Linked DNA regions of Neurospora crassa OR74A. The protein of the gene in region 6 purifies or fractionates together with the protein of the main gene of each other region. This does not show direct contact. Links are inferred from orthologs where the notes say so. Each region holds a gene or a part of one and is shown on either strand. Other genes may lie near its edges.

What was found.
Region 1: the proteins of NCU01203 (region 6) and NCU02546 purify together in Saccharomyces cerevisiae (affinity purification with mass spectrometry; 3 studies listed by BioGRID). This does not show direct contact. The link is inferred for Neurospora crassa OR74A from reciprocal best matches to the Saccharomyces cerevisiae genes RRP17 and NOG2.
Region 2: the proteins of NCU01203 (region 6) and NCU03764 purify together in Saccharomyces cerevisiae (affinity purification with mass spectrometry; 3 studies listed by BioGRID). This does not show direct contact. The link is inferred for Neurospora crassa OR74A from reciprocal best matches to the Saccharomyces cerevisiae genes RRP17 and YTM1.
Region 3: the proteins of NCU01203 (region 6) and NCU09380 purify together in Saccharomyces cerevisiae (affinity purification with mass spectrometry; 3 studies listed by BioGRID, with this or other methods). This does not show direct contact. The link is inferred for Neurospora crassa OR74A from reciprocal best matches to the Saccharomyces cerevisiae genes RRP17 and PUF6.
Region 4: the proteins of NCU01203 (region 6) and fkr-4 purify together in Saccharomyces cerevisiae (affinity purification with mass spectrometry; 3 studies listed by BioGRID). This does not show direct contact. The link is inferred for Neurospora crassa OR74A from reciprocal best matches to the Saccharomyces cerevisiae genes RRP17 and FPR3.
Region 5: the proteins of NCU01203 (region 6) and NCU00337 purify together in Saccharomyces cerevisiae (affinity purification with mass spectrometry, with the first as the bait; 3 studies listed by BioGRID). This does not show direct contact. The link is inferred for Neurospora crassa OR74A from reciprocal best matches to the Saccharomyces cerevisiae genes RRP17 and NOC3.
Region 7: the proteins of NCU01203 (region 6) and NCU05233 purify together in Saccharomyces cerevisiae (affinity purification with mass spectrometry, with the first as the bait; 3 studies listed by BioGRID). This does not show direct contact. The link is inferred for Neurospora crassa OR74A from reciprocal best matches to the Saccharomyces cerevisiae genes RRP17 and NOP53.

The regions. Positions count from the first base shown.
Region 1 is NC_026501.1:2,685,203-2,689,325, forward strand, and holds the start of NCU02546 (nucleolar GTP-binding protein 2), read left to right. Parts: upstream 1-1,283; 5' UTR 1,284-1,615; coding exon 1,616-1,925; intron 1,926-1,986; coding exon 1,987-2,352; intron 2,353-2,407; coding exon 2,408-2,571; intron 2,572-2,952; coding exon 2,953-3,972; 3' UTR 3,973-4,123. Other genes in the region: NCU02545 (hypothetical protein), read right to left, coding at 1-920. UniProt on the Saccharomyces cerevisiae protein: GTPase that associates with pre-60S ribosomal subunits in the nucleolus and is required for their nuclear export and maturation.
Region 2 is NC_026505.1:2,339,998-2,343,726, reverse strand, and holds NCU03764 (microtubule associated protein), read right to left. Parts: upstream 2,292-3,729; 5' UTR 2,098-2,291; coding exon 634-2,097; 3' UTR 519-633; downstream 1-518. Other genes in the region: NCU03765 (3'-5' exonuclease/helicase), read left to right, coding at 1-260; NCU03763 (DNA polymerase delta subunit 2), read left to right, coding at 2,626-2,675, 2,741-3,050, 3,106-3,729. UniProt on the Saccharomyces cerevisiae protein: Component of the NOP7 complex, which is required for maturation of the 25S and 5.8S ribosomal RNAs and formation of the 60S ribosome.
Region 3 is NC_026501.1:3,514,816-3,518,834, reverse strand, and holds NCU09380 (pumilio domain-containing protein), read right to left. Parts: upstream 2,826-4,019; 5' UTR 2,651-2,825; coding exon 2,413-2,650; intron 2,338-2,412; coding exon 536-2,337; 3' UTR 310-535; downstream 1-309. Other genes in the region: NCU09381 (RWD domain-containing protein), read left to right, coding at 3,212-3,278, 3,350-3,966. UniProt on the Saccharomyces cerevisiae protein: RNA-binding protein involved in post-transcriptional regulation. Component of the ASH1 mRNP which transports the ASH1 mRNA to the distal tip of the bud, where the ASH1 protein is translated and targeted to the daughter cell nucleus.
Region 4 is NC_026501.1:5,029,380-5,033,474, reverse strand, and holds fkr-4 (FK506-binding protein 4), read right to left. Parts: upstream 2,841-4,095; 5' UTR 2,582-2,840; coding exon 2,492-2,581; intron 2,396-2,491; coding exon 1,952-2,395; intron 1,882-1,951; coding exon 1,218-1,881; intron 1,159-1,217; coding exon 953-1,158; 3' UTR 313-952; downstream 1-312. Other genes in the region: NCU16390 (hypothetical protein), read right to left, coding at 3,412-3,592, 3,656-3,810. UniProt on the Saccharomyces cerevisiae protein: Proline isomerase that belongs to an abundant class of enzymes that catalyze the cis-trans isomerization of X-Pro peptide bonds and can accelerate the refolding of proline-containing polypeptides. Specifically binds nuclear localization sequences.
Region 5 is NC_026503.1:3,495,498-3,499,618, reverse strand, and holds NCU00337 (nuclear export protein Noc3), read right to left. Parts: upstream 2,810-4,121; 5' UTR 2,645-2,809; coding exon 614-2,644; 3' UTR 484-613; downstream 1-483. Other genes in the region: NCU00336 (U3 small nucleolar RNA-associated protein 10), read left to right, coding at 3,376-4,121. UniProt on the Saccharomyces cerevisiae protein: Required for synthesis of 60S ribosomal subunits and the transport of pre-ribosomes from the nucleoplasm to the cytoplasm. Also required for initiation of DNA replication.
Region 6 is NC_026505.1:3,224,182-3,226,995, reverse strand, and holds NCU01203 (hypothetical protein), read right to left. Parts: upstream 1,624-2,814; 5' UTR 1,504-1,623; coding exon 1,273-1,503; intron 1,202-1,272; coding exon 737-1,201; 3' UTR 536-736; downstream 1-535. Other genes in the region: tpm (tropomyosin), read left to right, coding at 1-141, 268-430; NCU01202 (hypothetical protein), read left to right, coding at 1,954-2,045, 2,197-2,570, 2,635-2,814. UniProt on the Saccharomyces cerevisiae protein: Essential protein involved in ribosomal RNA processing.
Region 7 is NC_026504.1:5,668,357-5,672,192, reverse strand, and holds NCU05233 (60S ribosome subunit biogenesis protein NOP53), read right to left. Parts: upstream 2,387-3,836; 5' UTR 2,155-2,386; coding exon 2,003-2,154; intron 1,930-2,002; coding exon 723-1,929; 3' UTR 536-722; downstream 1-535. Other genes in the region: NCU05232 (AP-2 complex subunit beta), read left to right, coding at 1-213; NCU05234 (GTP-binding protein ryh1), read left to right, coding at 3,313-3,359, 3,456-3,481, 3,566-3,654, 3,792-3,836. UniProt on the Saccharomyces cerevisiae protein: Late-acting factor in the nuclear maturation of 60S ribosomal subunits, which is required for normal acquisition of export competence. Required for the export of the large subunit.

The DNA.
Region 1 (4,123 bases), on a different chromosome or scaffold from region 6:
ACGTTCTTCTGCCTAACTGTCGTCTTTACGGCGGCTGAAGTGGTGGCAGTAACTCTGTCGTTGAAACCGCTGAACTCGTTTCGCAACTCCCTCATGCTAATGGGGTTCTTCTGCGAATCCCAAATGCTGCGGCCGCTTTCCCAGAGACCGGCGTTGTGGATCTTCTCGGTGAAGTGTTTGTTGACGTGCTCCTCCAGCTCCTTCTCGTCCACGATGAAGTTCTTGGACGCCACGTACAGCTGGACGACGGCGTCCCGGCGCGCCTCGCTCTTCATCGCCTCCTTCTCTGCATGTTTAATACGCGCCTCCTCGGCCTTGACGAAAGCCTCTGGGTCCAGGGGTACGAATGTGTTCTTGGCCGTGCTCTCGCGAATCGTCGCGCGCGTGAACACCTCGTCCAGACGCTCCGGCGCCTGGGCCGCCCGCTTGTTCGCCAAGTAGCGCGCCTTGCTCTCCTTCGCCTGCTTCTGGTCGCGCTTCACCTTGCGCTGCCAGAGTCCCTGCAGACCGGCCTCGAGTGACTGGCGCCGGGCCTCGGCCATCTTGCGACGCCACGACTCTTGTTTCGACTTGGGCGGCAGACCAGCCAGCTCGGCGGCGGACTTGGGAGCGATACGATTGACATAGCCGGATTGGACCTTCTCCGGGACGCCCTTCTTTGGGAAAATGGAGCGGGGGATCGGGAGGTGGCCCTTGACGAAAGGGTGCCTAACCTCGGAAGACTGCGGCGGCTCGGGGACCTTGATGTAGTTGGGCGAATCGGGGGGGATGGAGACCGAGTCTCTAGCCGATCGGGTGGTGCTGAAAGATCGGGCGGCGATGGCGCGTGTTACTACGCTGGTGGCAGCGCATGTTGTGGTCGGGGAAGAAAGGATAAATTGCACGCCGCTGAGCGACGGCCTGGCAAGAGTTGGCGCCATTTTTGAGGTGGAGGGTTGGCTGAAGACGGGGTGAGCGGGATGGGGTCGGAGTTGGGAGACTTCTGGCCGGGCCGTGCTATGCGGAGGTTTCGTGCGACGGAGGGAACGGACCAGGCGGGTGCAGCGGCCTCTCGCTCTCCTAGGTAGGTAGGTTCGGCTCGGGATCGTGGGACACGCCGCGGTACGAGGGGGCTTTCAACTCCGTCGAAATTCTGAAAGCTCGGGGAGGCCAGAACGGCGCTAGAGTGCTCTTGGTGCTACTAGCTTTGCTGGTCGCGGGCGTTCTGCCGTCGTACACCGCTAAACTTTTTGTGCATGGGGACCTTTGCGCGGCCTCCACACCCCGCCCAAAAAAAAAACTGACAAAACTTTCGCCGGGACCAGTCGCAGAGTTGCATTTCCTCCTTCTCATTCCTTCCTCGCTTCCCTCTCTTCTTTTCTTCTTCCCCAGTCCATTCATCCTCTCGATTCTCACGCAACACCCTCTGCCGATATCTGATACCCCATAGCCTCGTTTCTAGCCTTTTACCCATTCTTCCCTATTTTCGTGTGCTTCTTCTTTCAAGTCAATCTCAAACCCCCCGATCTACGGATACCCCCAGCCGCTCTCGCAGGCGAGAACGAAATTCTTCCACATCTGCATCCTCTACCCACCAACCTACTCGGTAATCTGGCATTGAGTGATATCTGCCAAAATGGGAACAGGAAAGAAGGAAAAGTCTCGCATTCAGCGACAGGGCAAGGTGACGGGTGATCCAAAGGTCAAGGGCGAGAACTTCTACCGGAGCGCAAAGAAGATCAAGGCCTTGAACGTGCTGAAGGAGGGAAAGGCCATTCGCAACAAGGAGGGCAAGGTCGTCAAGGCCGCGTCGTATCAGAGCAGAGATGTTCCCACAGCCGTCATCGAGCCGAACCGGAGATGGTTCAACAACACCAGAGTCATTTCGCAAGATACGTTGACATCTTTCCGGGAGGCGATTGCCGAGAAGGACAAGGATCCTTACTGTACGTTCAACTCTTCCGTCACTTGTCCGGCCGACCAAGACTAACGCACCTTGTCTTGTAGCGGTGCTGTTGAAAAGCAACAAGCTCCCCATGAGCTTGATCAGAGATGGACCCAAGGATGCGTTGAAGAAGCACCAAGCCAAGATGACGATTGAGAGCGAGCCGTTTTCACAGACCTTTGGCCCCAAGGCCCAAAGGAAGAGGCCAAAACTCAGCTTCAACACGATCGGTGACTTGACAGAACACAGCGAGAAGAGCATGGATACATACCAGGCCAGACTCGAGGAGATCAAGCTTCTAAGTGGTGCTTCTGGATATGGCGGTGGTCTTGCCGATGACGATGTTCAAGAGGAGGATTTCAGTGTCGCGACGGCCAAGGAGGCTATCTTCACAAAGGGCCAGTCGAAGCGTATTTGGAACGAACTGTGTAAGTCCTTCTGTGTTTGGGGACTTGTGACTTCGGGTTGCTAACCATCACATAGACAAGGTCATTGATTCGTCAGATGTCATCCTGCACGTTATCGATGCCAGAGATCCTCTGGGAACCAGGTGTCGTCACGTTGAGAAATACCTTGCCACTGAGGCTCCTCACAAGCATCTTATTTTCGTGCTGAACAAGATCGATCTTGTTCCTTCCAAGACTGCTGTAAGTGTAGACCATTATTTGCTTTCACTCCTTCTGCTTGAATCTCTTGACTTGCCTCGCGCAAATCCTGAGGTTCCCAGGGATTTTGTCAGGATCTTTCCCGCATTCAGTTGCGCTTCATTGGGATTGGTCTGTTACATCGCTGGGAGATTAATATCCACCTCCCAACCTCTCTGGTCCCGTCTTGGGATTGGGGATTTGATGGACTCCGTTTTGGAGGACTTCACGGGATACCGGACGTGTTTCGTTTGAGTTGAATTCCACCCTGCCTTTGAGCAGACTCTACCATGGTGGTCTTCTTAGTTATGATTCACACATTTCTTCACATTATACATATATGTTATATTCAGTAACGAGTTGAGGACTAACTGAAAACAATAGGCCGCGTGGATTCGCGTTCTGCAGAAGGATCATCCTACATGTGCTATGAGATCTAGCATCAAGAACCCCTTCGGTCGTGGTTCTTTGATCGATCTTCTCAGACAGTTCAGTATCCTGCACAAGGACAGGAAACAGATCAGCGTCGGTCTTGTTGGCTACCCCAACGTCGGCAAGTCGAGTATCATCAATGCCCTTCGTGGGAAGCCCGTTGCTAAGGTCGCCCCTATTCCCGGAGAGACCAAGGTCTGGCAGTACGTCACCTTGATGAGGAGGATCTACCTCATCGACTGCCCTGGCATTGTTCCTCCCAACCAGAACGATACGCCACAGGATCTCCTGCTCCGTGGTGTTGTACGTGTGGAAAACGTCGATAACCCGGAGCAATACATCCCTGCGGTATTGAACAAGGTCAAACCTCACCACATGGAGAGGACATATGAGCTCAAGGGCTGGAAGGACCATATTCATTTCCTTGAGATGCTTGCTAGGAAGGGCGGCAGACTTCTCAAGGGTGGTGAGCCTGACGTTGATGGCGTTGCGAAGATGGTTCTCAATGACTTCATGCGAGGCAAGATTCCTTGGTTCACGCCTGCCCCCGAAAAGGAGGAGGGTGAGACTGATACCATGGAGGGTCGCGAAGGACGCTACGGTGAAATGTCCAAGAAGCGGAAACGTGACGAGGACGACAGCGCGCCTGCTACCACTCCCGCTTCAGCAGGAGAGGATGCCAAGGAGGAAGACCCTGAGAACTTTGCCGGGTTCGACAGTGACAGCGACTCTGAGGTCGAAGAGGCTGCTGAGGAGAAGGGTGAGGAGAAGAGCACTGCTGAAGATATGATACCCCTGGACGCGTCGAGCGATGAGGAAGAGGATGGCGAGGAGGAGGGCTCTGACGTCGAAGATGACGAGGAAGGATCCGACCTCGACATCGAAGGAGCCAGCGAACTCGAAGAGTCTGAGTCAGAAGCCGAGGCTGCGCCAGCACCTCCCCCGAAGAAGCAAAGGAGGAGCAGGAAGTAAACTCGGTCAGTGAACGCGATGGGCGGCTGGGGTGAACCGAGCATGCGTTCAATAGCCGACCTCAGGGTTGGTAACGATCCAATCGGATCATGACGGCCGGTGTCACTGATAATAAACTGTTGAGGACTTGGGCATAACCTCAGTATGGCGT
Region 2 (3,729 bases), about 880 kb from region 6:
AGTTGTTGGATGAGATTTTTGGGCAGGAGCAGGAGCAGGAAGGTGAGGTAGAGGAGGTTGAGGGTGAGGAGGTAGATGAGACACAGGCAGAGGTGGAGGTAAAGCCGAAGGAAGAGAGCGTGGAGGATGTGATGAAGGCTGCGTTGGAGGCTGGGGATTTGGACTTTGATGAGGAGTTGACGCTGGGCAATAGCAGCAGTCAAGCGACGGTTGATGAGGAAGAGGTGGAGAGGTTGAGGAAGATGTCGAGAAGTCACTGAGCCGGCTCTCAAGCTGCTGGTCGAGTGCTGAACAAGAAAGGAAAGATGTCGACGATGCACCTATACCCCGAGACCGACTTGGCTACTTTTAGACGTTGGTAGATGAACCTTGTATAATCCTCAGAACAACCTGACTGGGCTCTGCAGAAGCCATCTAGTCTATGCTCCAGGTCAGTACAGTTTTCGCGTACAGTTTAGTTCAGAAAGAATCTGTCACGGCTGTTCTTGGCCTCGTCCCTGCAGATATCACAAAAATATCCTGTACAGTATTCACATTCCATTTTATCTATCCTGGGTATATCATAACAACCAAGTTCTGCTGCTTCCCTTCTCTTCATCAACAACCCCCTCTTTCCCGACCATTTTTCTTCCTCTACTCGGCATTCACACCCCTCCCCTTATTAATCTGCACCTTCTTATCCTCACCACCGCTGAAGATGCCCAGCTGATCCCACACCACGCTGAACACCTTGCACCCGTCGCCCGTCACACTGCTCTTCTTCTTCTTGCCCTGCTGGCTCTCGCGATCAATAACGTACACGGGCTCGCTGACGCTGCCCATGCCGCCCTCGTCCTTGGTCGCTGGCCGGACCGACCGCAAATCCCAGATCCGGCACGTCCCGTCGTGCGAGCCCGAAACCAGTGAGTACTCGTTCTCCGGGTTCGCCGCCAGACTGACCACCTTGTTGGCATGCCCACGCAGCGTCATGACGCTCGTCGCGGCCGTGCTGGTGCGCGGGTCGACGAGGGTAATGTGTCGGGCGGAGGTGCCGCAGGCGAGAAGGGGCGCCGAGGCCGAGGAGCGCGGCAGGGCAGCGAGAGAGAGGAGCGCATGCGAGGTTGTGAAGGTGCTGACCACGCTGGAGGTGGTCAGGTCGATGGTCTTGACGGTATGGTCCTGCGACACAGAGTAGGCAACGGTGCGGTCGCGGGGGTCGAAGACGGCGGCCGTGGCGGGCGCATTGTGGATGTTCATAAGGGCGAGCGGGCCGCGCTGGGCGGCGGTGACGGAGGTCGCGAGCTTGCGGCGCTTGGATGTGTGGGCGCCGGGAAGGAGCGAGGAATCGGAGACTTCGGGCGCGGACGCCTTGGAGGTGGTCCAGAAACCGATGGAACCGTCGGCGGAGGCAGTGAGGATGCGCTTCGAGGCGCCGTCAACCTCGAGCGAGTCGATCGAGGAGGTGTGGCCGTACAGTTCGAGAGTGGGCTTCAGCTCGCCGCGACGCTCGTACGACTCGCCCGACTCGGTGTACTTCCATACGCGAACTGTGCGGTCCATGCCGGCCGAGGCAATCTGAGTGCTGGAGAGGAATTTGGCAGCTTTTATGCTGGCAGTGTGACCACCGTGGCTGCCCGAGGGCGAGGTGCCAATCACATTTCCAGAGGCGTCCCATATCCTGAGGAGACCGTCGTACGAGGCGGAGAGGATGCGATCTTGGCCGCGCTGAAAGTTGTCGCCGGACCAGCGGCCCGCGGGAGAAGTAGCGGAAAGAACATCGACGGCGCTGACCCAGTCGTCGTGCTCAAAGCTGGCCTCGTATGTTGGTGGGATCAAACTGCGAACGTACTGAAGGGTGATGTTGGTTTCGAGCGAGAGGCCGTTGGCGTTGAGGTACTCTTCAAGACTGCCGCGGAGGAAGCTGCCGTTAACAAGGAAGTCGAAGGGGATCGAGTTGGTGTCGAGCATGGACTCGGAGTTGAGAATACGGGAGAGGCCATAACGGCGGATGTCGGCGGGGACAAGGAGCTGGCGCTTGCTCTCATCGAGCTGGATGTCCTCCTCCTGGGTGGTGAAGGTCACCCGGACCTGGGCGCCTGATTCGGTAGGGTGGTCCATGGCGGTGCCTGTGCTGTGATATTATGTGAATTGGGTAGTCGCTGTTCGGTATGGGCAGGCTGAATACTATCAATTGACAAGTAAAAGTCAGATTGGCTTAGATTACCGTGAAACAGGCGTCGTCGGGAGGAGAGTGTGGATGTTTACTTTGCAGCGGACACCACAAGGCCATGCCAAATCCAAGACTCCATCCAATTTTTTCTGTCCAGCCTTGCAGCGCAGGGGTCTGGAGTGTTCTAGCTACCCCACGTTCCCCTATCTTATCGGAACTTTATAGCGGGGCCGACGGTTCCTGTGAGGGTCACAGTGCTGAAGCGCCGCTACTATGTAAACTATACTAGTATAGAGTAGTACCGGTCATGTACCTGGCTTAATTGAACCCACTGGAGCTACGCGTCTCGAAATTGTCAAGCGCGTCGTCGAGTTTCGTCCCTTGAAGTCAGTTTCCGAGTCGGGCAGCACATGAATAAGTCACCAATTGCTTTTGTCGTTCTCACATCTTGAGCCATTGTCAGTATCAATCATACGATGGTCACCTTGGACGAAGTTCTCGGTAGCGGTTTGCTACAGAAGCCCTCGTGAGTAGCAGTGGATCATCCATCTTCCACTGGCGATCATCAGCTAACAACCCAACTTCACGAAGAGGCGATGCGCCCGAGGCTCTCCAGCGCCAGATCACCAACTACAAGCCCCTTCATACCTTCAAACTCGAAAAAACCCGTCCCTATCAACAACAATATGCCGATATTTACTTTTTGCGTCTTACAAAGATCAGGCCCGCCGTCGAGGCAGCCGCCAGCGCCGCTTGGGAGGGAACAGTGCTTGGTGGTGAGAAGGTCAAGAGGGTCGAGCGTGTCCTAGACGTTCGCCAGGGAGAACTATGCTGGGTAGCTGGAACAGTATATATGGACATGCCTCTAAAGCCCTCAATCCTCGAGGATGTCTCCAAGGATGTGAGTTTCAGCCTATCCTTTGGTGGACACCAGGCAGCTGACAATGATGTTATAGCGCTGGATCTCCGCTCCCACCTCGGTCGGCCACTACTACTCCGGCAACGGCGAAGACTCGGTAATGCTCGAAGACGACTCCGGCCGCATCCGTCTTGTCGGCAACGCTCTGCAAAACCACTTCATGGTGACCGGCTGCATCGTCGCGGTAATGGGCACCGAGAACGCCAACGGCGAATTCGAAGTCATCGACCTCCTCTTCGCCGAACTACCACCACAGCCCGAGCGCTGGTCGCTCTCAAAAGGCAAAAAGGAAGCAGACTCCTCCGAAGACGTCGAAATGATGGACGCCTCTTTCTCCAGGCAGTCCCACAAGCCCTCCTCTAAAAAGATTGCCCTCGTCTCCGGCCTCGAGTTCTCCAACGCCGACACCTCCTACGCCATGGAACTCAACCTGCTTCTCGAGTATCTCCTCGGCGAAGCGCTCGATCCCTCCGTCCAACGCGACGAGCTCTCACACATCACCCGCCTCATCATAGCGGGGAACTCCATCTCCACGACGGCGGCCGAACAGGCCAAACCCGCGGCTGCCTTCGACACCACCACCGTAACAAACAAGTTCCAACCACAAATCAAAAAATACGGCTACGACAGCAGCTCCTACAACCCGGTTCCCTCCCAACTG
Region 3 (4,019 bases), on a different chromosome or scaffold from region 6:
TAGCCTTGAGGCAGTTCCGTTCTTCTATTCGGTTTCCAAGCGGCACTTAGCCATCAAGTGACGGTGAACCCGATATATGTCGGTCTTGGTGCCGCAGTCAAAATGTTTGCACAGCACTTTGCCTCTACACGCCATGTTGATATGGGGAGGTTGTGTCCCTCGAAAATTGTGGTACAAGTGGTTCAATGTGAAGGTCGTATGATAATAAGGCCTTCCAAGGTCCGGAATGGCGAATATAAGAAAGTTGTCTCGCTCCTGTCTGGTTAATTATGATTTACCTCACTCCAAGTAGGCCACGGCCTGTTTCAAGCGTCATATCTGAACCATCAGGGAAGTCTGGAAGCAAGCTTTTCTCTATGCAATCATATATAACATGTCCAGACTTGTAAACAGGGCTATCAGTCAACCGCAAATTACGCGGGGCCCAACAAAATCGCATTGACAAAGTAAACAACATAAAAGGGGTATTTAGTCAACCTGTGGCTACCGTCCACTTTTGTCACTATAGCCATGCGACGCCTACAATTTCCTCAACCTAGGCATCGAGCTTCTCTAAAAGGAGCTTCGAGCCCTGGTTGCCCTTGGGGGCAGAAGCATTCTTGCCCTTCTTAGCCTTTGGCTTCTCCTCCATCTCTTCCTTCTTCGACGCCGGTGCTTCAGTTGCGGCCTTGATAAGGGCCTTCTTGTTGGACTTGAGGGTCTTGAGGAGCTCCTTCTTCGATGAGAAGTCGGAAGCCTCGAGCATAGCTAGCACCGTCCAAGAGCTAGGGCCGGTGGCCCATTGTACAATGTGGTCCTTGATGACGGGATAGAGAAGGTCGGCGAAGTTGAGCGGGGGGTCGACCTTCTGGATGCTGCCTGTGGCCTTGTCAAACCGGCCGCCAGCAATCAGTGTCTTGAACATGCGGCCACCGTGAATGGTTGTCGAGATGTGAGGGGGAAGAGCTTGGTAGGCATCCTTGGGCGCCTCAGCGTTGGGATCGCCACCGGCAGTAGAGGCAATAGCCTCCAACGCGGCCTTCTTATCTCCAGTCGCCGAAAGCAAAACATCAGTAACAAACTGGCAACCGAAAGAGGTGGCCACCAGGTCGGCGGGTGAGCTTGCGATGGCCGCAAGGAGCTGAGGCGACATGGCCGTCACCAACTCCTTACGCCTAACCTCGGCGTCCTTCTTGCTGGTCTTGGTGCGGATCTCGTGAATCTCCTTCAGAATCTCCAGGTCGGTGGCGTGGCTGGCAGGGAACAACGCTTTGGACATTCCCTCAAAGAGATATAATACCGTCGTGCGCGCGTTGAGGTCGTTAGCGAGAAAGATGACGTGCTCGGCATCCTTCTCTTCATTCTTGCCAAGAATCTCGGAGAAGATCGTCTTGGACGTGAGGACAGTGTCATCAAGGAGATCGTAGGCGGCGAGGATGATCGCGTGCGCGTGATTGTCACCACTCATGAGCTGGTAGGTGTCCTTGTAGGCCTTGAGCAGCTGCTTGCGGTCCTTGGCGGTTCCGTGCGCAAGGAGCAAGCACACGAGGCGGGCGCCAGACTTGGTGAATGCCATGTTTTTGAGCAAGTCGCCGGTCTCATCCTCCTTAATAGTCTCAAAGAACTCCTTGAACTCTTCGCTTTCGGGGTTAAGGTTGAGGAAGTACTGCAACAGAGCGTCGTGGAGCATGGTGAAACCAGTCATTTTCTTTTGAATGAGGCCATTGGCCATGTCAAAAAGGTACTTCATCGCCGTTGTCCTCTTGCTGGGCTCGTCAGCCAAAATCTTGGAGAGATCGCCAGTGACCTCGGTACCCTTGGGTTGCCTAAACAGAGCAAACTCGGGACCGTACCACTCGCGAAGGAGGTTGGCCTTTTGCTCCTTGGTCGCAACACCGCGGTAGACATCGTCCAGAATCCAGGAACCCTCAGCATGGTTGATGAGCTTGCGAACTTTGCCGTAAAACTCGGGGACGATGATGTCGCGGATCTCCTTGTCGTTCTGCACCAGAAGCTTGCCGATCAGGAACTTGGCATACCTGCTCTCGGCGAGCTGCGCATAGGTTCCTTGAAGTTCCTTCGCAATCTGCCTACGCTGAACCGGGGTGGCGTACTTGACGGCGGTCTGGACGGCACGGACAGCATCGTGCTTTAGGACAAAGTCCTTGATGCGGCCAGTTATGATGGTGAACAACTCCTCAACGAGCTGTTGGCGCTCCTCCTTAGGCACATGCGACTTGCGACGGAGCTTCTCCCACAGCTTCTTGGTACGGTGCACCTCATCGGCCAGTGGCTTCGCGTTCTTGCGTTCTTGGGCGAGTTGTTTTTGCTTGGCGTGCGCCTCCCTGGAGCTTGTGCCTGCGTTGTGTTAGTCAAATAACAGAGCGAGGTTCGGTCATCATGGGGCAGATATGGTAAAGAGAGACAACGTACCAGACTTGGTCTCGTTGGAGCCATTGCCGGACTCATTGGGCGTGGATGTTGTGGTCTCTCCTGTGTGGAACTCGGCGTCTGAGCTTTCATCGGAGGATTCATTGTCTTCGGCTTCGGCCTTGATGTGTTTCTTGCCAGAAGTGGTCTTTACTGCTTTTGTACGGCCATCCTCGTTATGCTTGCCGAACGCCTTTCTCTTTCCGCCGGCAGCGGCTGCTGAAGACGACTTGGTCGCCATTGATGCTATGCGATGTCTGTGTTGCTCCGGGATATGAAGGATTGATCTAGGTATGGGGGGCTCGTGTTGACGTCGTACTGGGTGGGCGCTGGTTCAAAGGTGATGGTCGAGCAGGAATATGTGAAAGTGCAGGTATTCAGACGGGAATCCGAAACTTTGGAGTGCCCTGTATCTGAAGCCTCTGAATTGGAAATTCTGTAGCACGTTTTCCGCTGAAAATTTCTGGATCCGCATCCTGGCATCTGCCGGGCGGTGAGAAGCTTTCCGGGGTTCTGTGGTGGGGCGACTTGATCGACACTGTCTAGAACTGTCCATTGATATAACAAGGAACCCAGGCAGGACCCCCACCATAGATTGAGCCGCGCTCGCGTTTTGGAGTTTGGCCTGCACCTGACGCTACAGTCACTGCAATGCCGTCTGGTTGCCCCTCCCGTCCTCTTCTCTAGGTTAGTAAACGCCTGAAAGTCAACATTGCCAGCACCCACTTTTGGAAGGAGTCTTTCACGTTTTATGTCGTCCAGCACACTGCAAACTTGAAAGGCGCCCTACCGATTGGACATCATGGGCCGCGAAGAACAAATTGAAGAGAGGGAAGTCCTCGACTCCATCTTCCCAGATGAGATCCAAGGTTCGATTGTTCGCCCACATCGGTTGCCGTTCAGGCATGGGCCTGTCCTAACCCAAGCTCGACTCGTCTAGATATCTCCGATACCGAATACCGGATTACTATCACGCTGGACATTCCTGATGATGATGCCGAAGAAACACCAAGCATGGTACTTACCGTACGGTACCCCGAAGACTATCCCGACAAGCCACCTTTCCTTGAGCTTGCGTCCGCCCCAAATGCGCCGCCCCATCAGTACATAAACATTGCCGACGATCGGTTCCAGCTGCTCGAAGGTATCCAAGAGACAATTGAAGAGAATTTGGGGATGGCCATGATCTTTACTGTTGTGTCGGCGTTGAAGGATGCTGCGGAGCAACTGGCAGTAGAGCGGAGGGACGCTGCCATCAAGGCGCAAGAGGAGGCCGCCCTTGCCGCGGAGCGCGAAGAGAACAAGAAGTTCCAGGGCACTCCCGTCAATCGCGAAACCTTTTTGAAGTGGAGGGAGAGTTTCTTGCAGGAACTGGAAGATCAGAGAATCAAGGAGGAAGAGGAAAAGGCGGCCGAGATGAAGAAGGCAAGGATAAAGGAGCCTGTCAAGCTCACGGGCAAACAACTCTGGGAGAGGGGCTTGGCTGGGAAGGGTGATGAGGACCTGGAAGGCGATGATGACGTCCCCGTGGAAGAGGTCCAGAAACTCACGGTTTAGGACCGTTAGACAAATCGTAAGCCCTCTATCACGTTCGCCAAAATTATCTAATT
Region 4 (4,095 bases), on a different chromosome or scaffold from region 6:
TTGACCTCTGCCAGTGAGATCTCGATGGGCGATGGGCACCTTGACTGGGTGAAGAAGAAGCGAGAGACGACCTAGGCGAGCAGTCGTCAGGCTTAGTGGGACGATAAACCGGGATGGCGGTACCCAAATGACTTGATGTTTGGGAAGAGCTCCTCTTCATGTCTCAAGCTCGGTCCTGTCCATTGAATGGTAGAAACCGCTGCGGCGTCTAAGTTGGTCGATCGTAACGCACAATGCCTAGTTTGGCGGCAGTCGGGAGTCGCGGCGGCTATGATGATAGTGAAAGATACAATGACGATACCTATTGAGAGATGGAAGCAGAGCGGGGAGGTGGGAAGACGTGGATGGACTTTGTCAGTGTGTTGAAATACGACAAGGTGCAGTGAGAGAGGACGACTCGGAGTAAGGTAGCTCCATACCTATGCATCACCTGAACTACCTACCCATTAGATGTGCCTCCCTTGCCCCAGGTCAACAACACTGACCTCTTGAGGCACAGACAGGGCAGGTACGACTTCAATTCTGAAGAAAGCCAGTGTTTGTAGCCAACTGTCACGCTTTCCTGGAAGTTATTACCGTCCGTCAATCAAAGACACTTTCCTCGACATCTCGAAACATCCAAGTTTGCCAAGTCCGAGTCGAGTGTAGGTAACGTAGAAATGTTGCGCCTTTGCAATTGATAGACGCAATATAGAATAGATCGTGCCCCATGAACGATGTACAACCCAAAGTACAGAAAGAAATCCAGACCCAATACTTTTGACATTATGCTGTTGAAATGACATTCCCACTTCCTTGACCAAACCCAACATGAGCGCAAGGAAATATGTGCTGACCAAAGAAATCCCAAGACTTGCTAGCCATAGAACACGAAAGGTTGTGGATGACAACCGCCATAGAAATCGCGACGCTAGCCAAAGCCTTCCTACCCCACGCTTCGAAACGTCACAATCTACTTGATCTCAAGGAGCTTGACGTCGAAGATCAAAGTGCTGTTGGGGGGGATGCCGGGAAGGGCACGGCTGCCGTAGGCAAGGTGCGCGGGGATGGTGAGACGACGCTCACCACCGACAGCCATGCCAGCAACACCGATGTCCCAACCCTTGATCACCTCACCCTTGCCGAGCTTGAAAGAGAACGGGGCACCCTTCTTGTTGGCTGTATTGAATATTAGTCTCTAGTCAATACTGTGAGAGTGATGGAAAAGTGAGACTTACAGTCGAAGACCTTGCCGTTCTGGAGCTTTCCGATGTAGCGCATGCCAACACGGTCACCGTTCTTGGCGGCACGGCCGGTGCCAACCTTCCTGTCATCAATGGTGACGCCCTGGACAACCTTGACGGTAGAGGTAGGCTTCTTGTTCTCAAGCTTGTCCTTGGCAGGGCCAGTAGGGCCCTGCTCGAGGTTCTTGGCGAACTGGACCTTCTTGTCGGACTTGGTCTCCTTCTTAGGCTCCTCCTTCTTGGCCTCCTCAACCTTCTGCTTCTTCTGTTGCTTCTTGCTGAGCTTCTTGTCGTCCTTGGAGATCATGGCATCGAGACCCTCGGCATCGTCCTCGGCGGGGCGCTTCTTGCCCTTCTTGCTGGTGTCGACAAGCTTGGGAGCCTCCTCCTCCTCGTCTTCCGAGGTGATCTCCTTGACACGGGGGGTGCCATCGAGCTCGTCGAGCTCGTCGCTCATATCGTCGGAATCGTCATCCTCGCCACCAAGGGGAAAGTCGTAATCCTCGTCGTCGGACTCATCCTCATCATCCTCGCTGTCCTCCTCGTCATCCTCGGGAACAACGAAGTTACCGGTGAGATAGACAGAGTGGGTACCCTGGACACAGAAGAAGACCTTCTCACCCTCGCCGATGGTGATGTTGATGGGCTGCTGGTAGTTCTGTATATGGGGAATCAGGTTAGCTCCAAGAACTCAAAAATACGTTCACCGAATGGATGGGGCTTCTTACGCGCTCAGTGTCAAGGGTGCAGACAACGTAGTCCTCAAGCTGGAGGTCATCATCGCCGCAGCAGTCGCTCTCCTCGTCGCTCTCCTCCTCGTCGGACTCGCTGGCCTTGCCCTTGCCCTTGCCCTTCTTGCCGTTGGGCTTGGCATCCTCCATCTCCTCATCAGACTCCTCCTGGGTAGCAGCCATAAGCTTCTTGATGGCAGCCTCCTGCTTGGCCTTCTTGGACTTGGAAGGGTCGCTGGGACCACCGTTGGCCTCGTCGTCAGAGTCGCCGCCGCCGAGGAGGGACTGGAGGTACTCATCCTCCTCCTCATCATCGTCGTCATGGTCGTGGCCAGTGGCCTTGATGATCTTCAGGGTCGAGCGGGGGAGCGCGGGAATGTTGCCTTGGCCGTCAGCCTCAGGAGCCTTGGTGGGATCGAGGGCGGCCATGGTGATGTGAATCTGGAATTCATGTCGTTAGCTCCGTGTAACCCAGTCCAGTGGAGCGCCATTGCCTGCGAAGGAGAGGGCCAAAGGCTCCGAAAAGTGTGCACTTACGATAGCAGGGAACTCAGAGGCGGCGGGAATGAGGATCTCGCCAGGAGGAACCTCCAAGCCAAAAACGGCGACAGGCATAAGGGGGGCCATTGTGAAGATTGGGTGGTGCTTTGCGCCGGGGTATCAAAAAGTCTAGATTTTAAAGAAAACTAAAGAGACAGGAACTCGAAGTCGTCGTCGGAAGTATACACTTCTAAGATTGAAAGAAGATGAATGGGCTGGGTAGAAAAAGTCTGAAGATGGATGCGACCAGTTTGACTTGGGAAAGGCAGAAAATGCGATCGAGGACGAGGGCGGTCGACAGGAAAAGTTCAGGCGAACTGCACTTGGAATCCAGAAAAATTTCGGCACCCCACCGTCTGTACTGTCTGTTACTGTAGCGATAAGACTTCCTTATCGGTTCACTGCCACTCTCCCGCTCCCCAAGCCAAGCTAGCAAGGGTATGTCGGTCAATGCAGGCCGGTCTGCTAACAAAAGCGGGGAAGAGTTCGACAAGCTCCGCGCTAACGTCGTGCGCGGACGCTTGATGTGCCTAGAGCTGGCATGGGAACCTTGCGACGACGGGATGTTCAAACTGCAACTCGTCATCACCGACTCGAGGTTTGAAGGTGGTCGCCGCGGGACTGCAATCTTTTGCCATCTGCAGGATTCATTGGTGCCAGAGCAAAGTGCATCAGGTGGGAGGTATAAGAATGAACACCATGCACCACAGGTACATGTCTGGAGTCTCCCGGCGATGCCATCCCACATCACATCGGTCCCCCAGGCTCACGGTTCACTCCACCTGAGTGAGAGGATTCACCAACGAAAGCATTTCTGAGGGATTCAAAGCAAGATTAGGTAAGCCCCTGGCTGAACCTTCAGGCACACCTTGATAACCCAGCATGCCACAGTCATCCCATCATCAACGCAATCGTCTCTAGATCTTGTCTCGATTTTCATATCTCTGCGGCCTCTCATCCACCTTAACGAGCTTCAATCCCGACTTAGCCACTGGGCCCGGGAAGTGACGGCTCTGCCTCGCGTAAGCCGCAACGAGATCATTGCCGTTGGTTACGCCTCCTATAGTATTCATCGAATGTCGGCCCAGTCTTCTGGGCCTAGTCAGGAAGGGATGAAAACAAACCACTAGAATAAGCCAAAGATTCCCATCCCCCACCCACCTCAACTTCTCCGCCACCCGAATAACGTCCTGGTCCTCGAATCTCGTCCGCAGATCTCCTTGCAACTCTCGCGGTCCACAGGCTTGCTTGCTTTTGAGTATCCCGGCCGCACCGCAGAGGTAGATGGCTGAGTAGACGCTTAGGATGTCTGTCATTTTCGTCTGGTTGTTACTGGTGTTGTTCGCATGCCCTGCCAGCCACGACAGAGCGGCTGGGCCCTCTTAGAGGTCAAGCTAAGGATTCCGGTCCCGGAATCAAGACGATGTCAAGCTTTCCTGGTGCCACTTCAAAGCGGATGTCTATGGAGGCTATCAGAGGGATTGGGTGATAAATAGTTGGACTCTGCTGATGTTTTTTGTGTCGTTTTGGGGGGGGGGGGGGGGGGGGGGGGGGGGGTAGTCAGCTATCATTATCACTTCCTCTAGCGGTAGGTTTGTTGA
Region 5 (4,121 bases), on a different chromosome or scaffold from region 6:
TCCATGAATCGATATGACGATCGTCATCAGACAGCAAAAGATTTTTCACCTCACCAATTAAACTCGCATGAGGCTGAGGGGAAGCTACGGACATGCCTCGGTTTAATGTACAGCCGCCATGGTTCGGCAAGTCTGACCCGACTCGGTGAGACAGAGCTAGAGCAGAAAATAGAAAAGATGAAAAGAAAAGAAAAATGATGCAAAGGTCAGGATGGTCGGCTGAATGGAGGTCGAGGAGGGAAAACAGCTGATGGCCAACTGAAAGTTGGAAATGTCTTGGGAAGGTGCAGTGGAGGAGGCTCATTCTCCAAGTGTTATCACATAACAAATGCGACCGCCTGCTTTTAGATCTCCAAAGAAACTGAAGTAATACCACATTCCACTGTGATCATGATGGGTTTGGTCGACAAAAGTACCCGTTGGTATGGTGGTGGCTTTGTGTCTGCCAGCCGCCATTGAAATCACTTTCACAGCCATAAACTCGTAGATATCCAGAATCGTTTCAACAATAATAATTCTATGCCAAAGCTAACGTGTATACTCTCCAACAACCTACACCTAGAGTCTCGTAGACATAACAAGACAATCCCTTCCGACATCACCCTTTCACCAGCTATTTGATACTTTTGATGCTCTTCTCCAGTTCCTTCACACTCTCCCTCACCTTGGGGCAGTAATGTCTCCTCAACAGCTCGCCCTCCCACACCGTCGACGCGAATGGGTTGCTACCCTCCACTGTCGCCGCAAGTGGCTTATAAGTGCCGTCGCCCTTCCTCTCCTCCGTATTCCAGAGCGAGCTGATCTTCCTGCCGTGCGTGTGGAGCACGTCGGCGAGCAAGCCGAGAAGCGCCTGGGCTGACTTCTCCGGCACCTGGAGCGATCCGGACATGAGCTGCTTCGTGAAGGCGGCCAGACGGAGCGGCGCCACGGAGCGGATGTTCCAGGGCGGCAAGAGGATGCCGCTGAGACACTTGACGAGCAGGACGGTGGTGGTCTGCAAATTGATGCGGTTGTTGCGGCGCACGCTGTTTTGGAGCTGGAGCGACTGGGCGCCGAGTTCAAGATCCGGGTTAACGGAGAGAGAGAGGAGGGACTGGAAGAGGTGGGTGATGAAGAAGGAGAGATCGAGGTGAAGGTCCGAGCGGGCGTTATGGGCGTCTTGGCCCTCGAGAAGAGCAAAGGCGGTGACGGTGCAGAGGAGGGCTTCGCGGCTGGTGTCACGAACGAATTCGTGCTCGTCGTCTTCATCCTCTTCCTCTTCCTTGTTCTCGTCGTCCGACTCGTCCTCCTTGTTGGCGTCCTTTTCACTGTAGCGGATCAGGTCTTTTAGGGCCTCAAGGAGATCACCAAAAAAGTCCTGGTTAATCAGGTGGGAGTATCTGGCGAGACCTTCAAGACAGGCACCCATGAGGTTGGGAATACGCATCTTGAGGATGCGGAAGTACGAGGCGAAAACCATCTTGAGCGTTTCGGACTGCATCCGCTCTCGCTCCTCGTAGCTCACAGCTGCGTCGGCGTGGGCCATGACCTTTTCAGCCTCCTTCTGCTCCTTAAGAAGCTTGCGCTCACGCTTGGTGCGGAACTCCTTCTTCTGCTTCGGCTTCTTGACCGACCCATCGTCCTGCTTCTCCACCGTGTCTCTGGAAGCTTTTCCGGAAAACTCGCTAAGCAAACGCAGGTGGAGGAACAGGTTCAGGATGCTCTCGTCAACCTGGTAGTTACGAGCCTTCATCATCTTTGTGAGTACTGAAATGGCCTCCATGGCGGGTTGACCATCCTCATCCTCGTGAAACAGGGTCTCGAGAGCGGTCCGGCACTTGATAAAGTCTTTATCGATATTTCTGTAGCTCAGCTTCTTGATGAGAATCTTGAGAAGCTCACCGCGGAAGTTGAAGTGCGGTACTGCGTTCAAAAGGGTGCAGGCGCAGGTAAGGGCGATGCTGGAAATGGGCTGCTTGGACTTGTCGCGAATCGATCCACCGGCGAGGGCAGCAAGGGTCTTGATGTATTGGTAGTAGCCGGTCACCATGGCCTGTTCATAGACGCGTAGCCGCTTGACATCCTTGGACAGCTTCTCTTTGGCAACATCCTCCGAAGCCGGTCTTATCCTGTAGCCGGGAATGACATCCTTGTAGACGGTCATCTGGACAACAATGGCGAGCTTCTTGATGGCGAGAAGGTCCGACTCTCCAATCTTGGCGAGCGCCTTGAAAGCACCCGGATGCTCCTCTGGGTCTTCATTGAGCTGCGTTGCGATCTTGGCCATTTCCTCCTGGGCTCTCCTGATCTGTTCACGCTCGGGAATCTTGGGTGCTTCTGGCTCGGGCTGAGCCTCCTCCTCCTCAGGGGCCTCCTCCCCTTCACTCTCCAACCACTCGGCATCGCTCGCAATCTCGGCGTCTTCCTCTTCCTGCGTCACCCAGGTTCCCTCGGCAACTCTGATGGGCAGTTTCGTGGCATCGGCGACCTTCTTCTCCTTCTTCTTCTTTCCTTTCCTGGGGCGGTTCTCATAGTCCTCCTCGAGGTTCCAGCTCTGTGCACTCTTGAAGAACTGCTTTTGAATTTTGACGTCGCTGGTTGCTGCGCCGTCCGAGGACTGGCCTCCCTCGGTCAGCTTCCTCCGCTTGGAAGGATGGGAAGACATGGTGGTGGCTGGTGATGGTCTGTGCAGTTGGAGGGTTGTGAGATGATGTGAAGTGAACCTGAAACACTGAGTGTGGGCGGCTGATCGATGTGTGCTGAAGACAGACTGAAGTGAGACGGGAGCGAGCGGTGTTCTGGAGTGGAGATGGATGGGTATCGATTGTTTGTTCTTCACTGAGATGAGGAACCGCTCAGGAACATTTTCCAAACTTTTTGGACCCTGGCTGCCAAAGCTGGGGGTCTTATCGGCGGGATGTGGTTGGTTTAGCTTTCTTATCGGACCCCACCGCTTGGGGAAAAAAAAGTTGCTGAACCATGAACGGCCATCGATTGACTGCACTTTGAGTTTTGCGGTCGAGTTCAGTTGCTTGCGCTGGAGCTTCGAGTGGCCGCACCTCCTCCTCCAAGTTTGAATTCCCTTTCCTTCCATCCATCCAAATAGGAACCCACCGACGGGGCACTCTCCGAAAACATCAACCTCGTCGCAGCAAAGAGAGACCGCGGCACCTAATCTCTTTCTCGACCACTGTACACACATCCAACCTCCCGTAATCCCAGTCTCTACCCCACGATACACAATCGAGACTGCACTCTTCCCCGTCTCCCACCACGCGCCGAAAGGCCGATCGAATTCCCACTTTGCGACGCGATCGAAATATCGACGTCGACTCTCCTTGACGATAGTACCATACGATAACCATAAAGCCGAATCGTAGAAACCAACACCCAACCATGTCGTCTTTGGCCTCCCAGTTGGCCCAGATCGCTGCCAACTCGCGGTCGACCCTCAACACCAAGGTCCTCAAGGCCGCCCACTCCAAGTCCCTGATCTTCGAGCCCCGCGTTGCCGCTACCCAGACATACCCCGAGATCTACTCGATATGCCTCGAAGGCTTTGAGGAGCTGTGCAACCTTGATTCGCGCTTCACCAAGTTCACCCAGTCGCTATGGAGCCCACAAAGCCAGGAGGCCGACAGGACACAGATGAGCGCCGCTGAGAATGCCGCCCTCGATAAGCATGTCGAGGCCTTCCTCCACCTGTGCGGCAGCAGGTTGCGTCTCATGCCCACCATCAAGGCCATCGAGTGGTTGATCCGCCGGTTCCGCGTTCATGAGTTCAACACGGCTGCTCTCATCGCGACCTTCCTCCCATACCATACCATCCCGGCCTTTGTGACCTTGTTGTCCATCCTGCCCGCCAACATCCCCAAGGAGTACCGCTTCCTCGACCCCTACATCCGCTCTCTGACCGCGCCCCCTCGCGCCGCCATTGTTCAGCAAGCGACGAACCGCCCCGAGCTGCTTACCGCCATCTCCCAGTACACTCTTGACTCTTGCAAGTACCAGATGGAATACCCTGGCCTCATCTCCTTCTGGGGTGGTGTCATGGTTGAAGCCACCAACGGTCTGCTCGACAAGTACCGTTCCGGCAGGAGAAGCATCCAGATCGAGAACGACAACGCTCTCATGCAGCAGCT
Region 6 (2,814 bases):
GACCCAGGTTAAGGAATTCAAGAGCGCCGCCGAGGATGGCGCGCAACAAGGCACTCAGAACGAGACGCTGACACGGAGACTTCAACTTCTTGAAGAGGAGGCCGAGGAGGCTGACAAGACTCTCCGCGAGACCAACGAGAAGTACGTTTGCATCGAAATACACGCACCCCTGGACGATGAGATGGGGGAGGGTCCTAACCCCTGTGCCCTTGAACCCCTTTTCTTTGCGACACCTTAGACTAACATGATGTTTTCCTCCTTCAACAGGCTTCGCCAGACCGACGTCAAGGCCGGCCACTTCGAGCGCAAGGTTCAGGCCCTCGAGAACGAGCGCGACCAGTGGGAGTCCAAGTACGAAGAGATGGCCAAGAAGTACGCCGAGGTACAGAAGAGCTTGGAAGAGTTCCAGGCTGATATTGCCAACATCTAAGTTGGTTAACGGATGCAGTCGGAACATGGTGGAAATTCCTTTCTTTACGTTTGTTCACAGCGTCACCGCATCGATAATATCAGCCTGACCCTTTATGCCGTTTGTCCTCGGGTTGTCGAGTAGGGAGATAAGACGGACAAAGCAAGCCGTTATCTAACTCCCGCGTACAACTCATATTGCCTACTAGTTCAAAGCATAATCCATCATCCCAGCATTGCACATACAGTACTTAAACAAGATCTAGATATCGTAAGGGATACCGCTGTCAGGAATAGCGGTAGATTATTTCCTTCGCCATCTAACCTATCACGACCGCTTCGCTTTCTTTGCCCTCTGTTTCCTCTCTGTGACGTTTCGGTCATGTCGGCTTTCGTATGTGAATTTTCTCTTCTTCTTTTTCTCTGGGAAGTTTCGTTTTGATTTCTTGTCGGCTTCCTGCTGCGCCGCCTCTTCAGCCGCCTTCTTCTTCTTGTTGTTCTTCTCCGTCTCGGAATCTTCTTCGTCCTTCAAGGTCCGTGGTTTGTGGATGCCGTCCCTGTCTACGCTGACGGCTTCTACTGTCACGGTCGTATAGCGGTCTTCATCGATGTACTCCTCCTCGACATCAAGCGCAGGCTCTTCCGCCACATCGTCTTCGGATAGCCCATCCCATTCGTCGTCTGACTTGTTCTCGGTGGGTTTGTCGTCGGTACCGGCACGCTCTGCCTCGTGGAGAAGCTTGTGCACTGTTTGGATATGTTCCTCGAGGTTCTTCTGCCGCTCCTCTCTGATCTGTACCCGACGTAGATTAGACTTACTGCCATGGAACCAACCAAGAAAGACAGCGGTCATCCGGTACGTACCTGCTTTCTCAACCTAATTCGTTCCAGCCGTGCCTCTTCCTCTGCTTGCGCCTTCGCAGCCTTGATTCGGGCCTGTTTACGCTTGTGGAAACCGGTAAGATATTCGGTGCGGGCGTCCTTGTCGAATGTGATTTCCTCGACCTTGTGCACTATCTTGCGTTTCTTGGGTGGCGGCGCGAGCCCACTCTTTTTGGGCCTTGGGGCAACAAAGAACGCTGGATCCCTCTCCATAATGGCTTCGAGGGTTGACTTTGAGTGGAAAGTTCGTTTGGTGGTTTTGTGGAGAAAAGGGAACAAGAAATCGAGGTAGAGGTAAGGGCGGGAAGGATGTTTGGATGCAGCGATCTGGATGCTCTGGGTTCAACTGTAAATTTACTGATAGCCACCCCCCTGTTCAAATGTTCACTCGAACGGGGCACCATGCAGGAAGCGGCCTTATCGTATTCTGCCCTATTCTACCGCCTATCTCTGATGTCCATAGCCTGCCGGTCACACCCAGCACCCAATCCCATGCATCAGACGTCTGGCGCTCTCTCAGTGCAGTGACATCCACGCTCCCGGGCTCTGGATCCTGGAGCTACACCACGCTGCCAGTTTGTACACTACACCATATTCGCATATCCAACACAACAACCGACGACGACGACAATATCGCAGACAGTTTGGCATAATCTGTAAATCATGAAACTCTCGATAGTAACAACTCTGCTCGCCTCTACGGCAGTGCATGCCTTCTCGGACTCTTCACCATTTGTCCTCTTTTCCACCTCCAGGTACGTCATGTCCCAATTGTCGCCGTGGGTGGTGTCCCTTCAAGTTGCCCTCGCGCCATCACGATCTTGTGCACCACATCCCACTCAGTTGCGCTTTCATGCATGTGACTTCGACTGAAGATGCTGACCCTTGCGAAACCGTGATTTCCAGGCTCAATACACCCGAAAGATACGATCAGCTCCAAACCAGCAATCAAGTGATTGCTTCCGCCAAGGAGATCCTTTCCTCTTGTCCTACGAAAGACTACGTTATCGTCTCCCAGCCGAACGTGCACGCCGCCGACATCCGCGATGGCTCGCACTGTAAAATGCGCAGTCTATGCGACACAATCGCAAGCAAGGAAATCAAGGGCCGTTTCAGCGTTGCGGAGGTAGTCGGCGACCTCTCAACCCATTCGTTGGAGGATTATGTGAAGGAAGCCTGCGCTGCCAAGGGGAAGGTTGCCGGTATCGTCAAAGTTGACCTCACGCATCTACCTTCCTTGGAGCACAAGGATAATAGGGCGCAAATCCTGGCTTCTAATGGTATGTCTAGTTCGGATCACGGGTCGGCTATTGAATTGCCCCGTACTAACCTGTGCAACTATAGACGATCAGTTGGGCCTGGTGCTCGATACCCTTGAGGGCGACTATACCCTTGTCATGGTATCAGACCCTAACGAGTTCAAGGCTTACCAGCCTGACTTTATCGAACCAGTCCATATGGATCTCAAGCGCGGACAGTTTAGCTCTCAGGAGGGCAGTGACAACGGCAACACCACTTATGATA
Region 7 (3,836 bases), on a different chromosome or scaffold from region 6:
CAGGCGGCGGTCAATGATGCGGATGCGTACTTTGCGCAGCAGATGAGGCAGATGCAGATACAGCAGCCCGGCGACAGTTTTGGTGGGGATGCGGGACATTATGGGTATGGACAGGGGTACGTGGTCAGTCAGAGCTCGGCGTACCAGCCGGGGATGGGGGGGATGAATGGCATGGGAGGGATGAATGGGGCTCAGGGGGATTTGTTGTTGTGAGGGAGTGTGGTGTGAGGGGTGCCTAGCTCCGAATGGAAAGGGGGGATGGGATGGGAAGGGGTAAGAGTGGGAAGAGAGGAGAGACAAGGTAGTAATGTAATAGACAGACTAGGAGTTGGGGAAGCGTGGTGAGTGTGTGATTTGGTAGGGTGGTGGGAAAAGATATCCAGTTAGGGTTTTTGGTTGTAGATAATGCGAATAACAAGTAATATCCCGTCACTACGTATGTTCTGGTGTGTTAATGGGCGAGTGTGAAGACATTCATGTAATGTCATCTCACTACAAGACTTGAAAGACAAAAACGCGAGCATAGGACCACTTTGAATGTTCCAACCTTTTATTGCACTGAAGACCAAGTGAGAAAACCGTAAACGCCAATATACACATGACAAACGTACTACTAACAAAAACCAAAAGGGAATATTTTGTAGAAGGAAAAACAATTACCAAACAAATCCGAATATGTATATGTCCGTAAAGCCCCAAAACTTAAACCCAGCCGAGCCGCTTCAAGCCAGATTGAAATCCTTGAAAGTCCACTTCTCCGTGACCTTTGTCTTGGCCTGCTTTTTGAAGGGAATGTGCCTCCTCGCCTCCACCTTGCCTCTAAGCAACATATTCCTGTACCTGTCTTTCAACAAGTTACCCTCCGGCTTGAGCAACCTCAGCGAATCCTGCAGCTCATCCGGCAAGACCAGCTCCAGATCCTTCTCGGGCAACTTGAACTTGCCTAGTTGCCTACGGCGCAGCTCGACGTCGTCATCTTCTTCAAGGCTAGCATCGTCCTCTTCGACATTGTTGGATTCGGCTTTTTGGAGAGCAAGCTGCCTCTCCTTCTCGGCCAGTTCCTTGGCAATCTGCTTGACCCGCGCGGCCTCGGCCTCCCTCTTCTTGATGGCCGCCTCGTGCTTCAGACGCTGCTCCTCGGCCTTGCGGCGCTTGATCTTGTTGCGCTGGGCTTGCGTCTTGCGCTCCGGCCGCTTCTTCTTGTTGGCCAACCCTTCCGCGTCGCTCTCGGCCCCTTCCCAGGCGGAATCATCCTCCCATTCCGACAGCTCGGCGCGCTTCTCGGCGGCCTCGGCCTCGGCGCGCGACTTGGCGGCCGCTTCGGCCTTGAGACGCTCCTTCTCGAGTTCCTCCAGCCGCTTCCGTTCGGCCTCCTCGGCCTTGCGCAGCTCCTCCTGGTAGCGCTCCGAGTAGTCGGTGAAGGCGGGGTTGTACGACTTGTCGCCCTTGGGCTTGGGAACGGCGGGGAGCTGCTTGCCGGTGGCGGCGAGGGAGATGGGTTGTTGTGTGAGCGTCTTGGGCGCCTTGGGCTTCTCGACCTTGGGCAAAAAGTTGAACGTTTCCGCGGCCTGCTGCTTCTTTTTCTGCTCTTCCTCTGGGTCGGCCCAGGCGTCAAAGGTGGCGTCAACGACCTCAACCGTGGTGGTGTGGTGGCCGTCGGCAACGCGCTTCAGGCGACTGAGCTCCTTTTGGGTGACGTAGGTGGCCCGCAGGCGCTTGGAGGGCAGGACGCCGTCGGTGACCTTGCCGGAGGTTTCAGAAGCCGGGCGCTTCTTGAGGGAGACGGCGGGAACGGCGGAGCGCTGGGCGAGGATCTCGTCGGCCTTCAAGGGCTTCTTGAGTTGCTTGGGGAGCTTCTTGGTGATTTCGGTGTCGGGCTTGACGTCGATGGCGAAGAGTTCTTCGGAGGTCTTCTCGGCAATGACACCACTGTTATACGATAATTCATGTTAACCAATTGGTGTCTTTGGTAATACAAAGCATCACAGAAGGAGCGCCGTACCCCTTGATAATCTGGGCGTTCAACTCATCGAGACCCTGCTCGACCTCTGTCACGTCGACATTCTTCCTCCACGCCTTCTTGCCCTTTCTCGACGGTTGGTTGTATTGCTTGGGGGCTTCGGGATTGCCCGACAAGGGTTTTAGGACGGGCATTTTGGATATGTGATGTGATGGTGTGTTGTGTTGTTGGGTTGACGACTCGAAGAAATCAAACGAGTCGGCGGAGGTTCGAGGCAGATAAGAAATTGGAAATATTGATACCTCGAAACCGCCTGGAATTCTGGGGTCTCCTCTGCAATCAATCCGACTGCCCAGTGGGGTGTGCAACTCAAAATTTCAGCGGCGACAGGAGGCAGCGATAAGATAAGAAAGACCTGCCCGAGACAGGACAGGGAAGAGCAACTTCATGGAACACAAGCGTCCAGCGCTTCAGTTCCCTTCCCCAGCCGTGCTCAGCTGGCAGTTGGAGCAATTAGCCAATCAGACTTCCAAGCTGCCTCGGCCTCTGGACAAATCCAATGACGGCCGCCAAGCTTCCATTGGATGCCCGGTCTCGGTCGTTTTGGTCAAGTGAAGTGTCGAATTTGTCTGGGCGCAGAAAGGCGGCGGGCGGCCACTGTTTCCCTCCACTGATCGCTTGGCGCGGTCCCCTTTCTCTCGCATGAGTCCGCTTCGGGGAAGAAGACTGAATAATAGTCGCAAGAAACACTTTGTTGTTCGAACTTGAGGTTATGCATAAACAATGGATAAAAACATGTAAACTTGTACATACGTACATACGGAATGTCGGTCAATCAATTAATCTGTATCCAAACAAAATATTAAATGTTCAAGTATTTTCTGCTCTCTGTGGTATCAACTCTTATAAAACGATCTCTCGACCCGATTTTTGTTTGGTAAACGAAGACTCGACGGACTGCAAAGACCCCAGCAACCAAGTCGGCAACGAGACCCCGACTGGATCCCAAACACCGACCCGATTGTCCTCCAAGCTCCCTTGTCATCCACCCCCCGGCCACCACGCCCCGTCCGTCGCACCACTGAGACCACTCAACGCTGCATGATCAGTCTCCGGCAACTCTCCGCCGCCGTCCATCTTCCACTTCGACGACCAGCAGACACCTATCTAACTCTAGACCAACTCCGACCGCCTACACTACTAAGCTTTCTGCCACTTAACCACCACCACCTCCTCCAAAGTCCGAAAGCTTCCTCCCCTTGATCGTGTTTCCGAATACCTTCAGCTACCTACCTACCTACCTACCTACCTACCCCGCCAAATACCGTTAATCCGCAAACACATCCATCACAATGGCGCAAGCAGGCGGGTCATACAACAACCCCTTGAAGAAATTCAAGTAAGACAACATACCCGACACTTTTGCAGACAATGCACTTAAGTCAAATGGAAGACAAAACAAGACAAGATGCTAACCACTCTTTCTCCTCGCCAGGTTGGTCTTCTTGGGCGAACAAAGCGGTATGCGATTACCTCAACCTACAACACTTTCTCCACGATGTTCTCCGAGACACCAATGCTAACTCAACGATTGCGCGCAAACAGTCGGCAAGACGTCGCTCATCACACGCTTCATGTACGACTCGTTCGATAACATGTACCAAGCCACCATTGGTATCGATTTCCTTTCCAAGGCATGTTCGACCCCCGTCTCCCATTCAATTCTTTACCGCCCTTCCTTCCCAGACAGACAATGCGCGACAGTTGCAAAGACCCAAGAACTAGTAGAACAAGATGAGAGCCTTTGGCTAACTTTACGGGGGGGAAAAAGACCATGTACCTCGAAGACCGAACAGTCCGCCTACAGCTCTGGGAC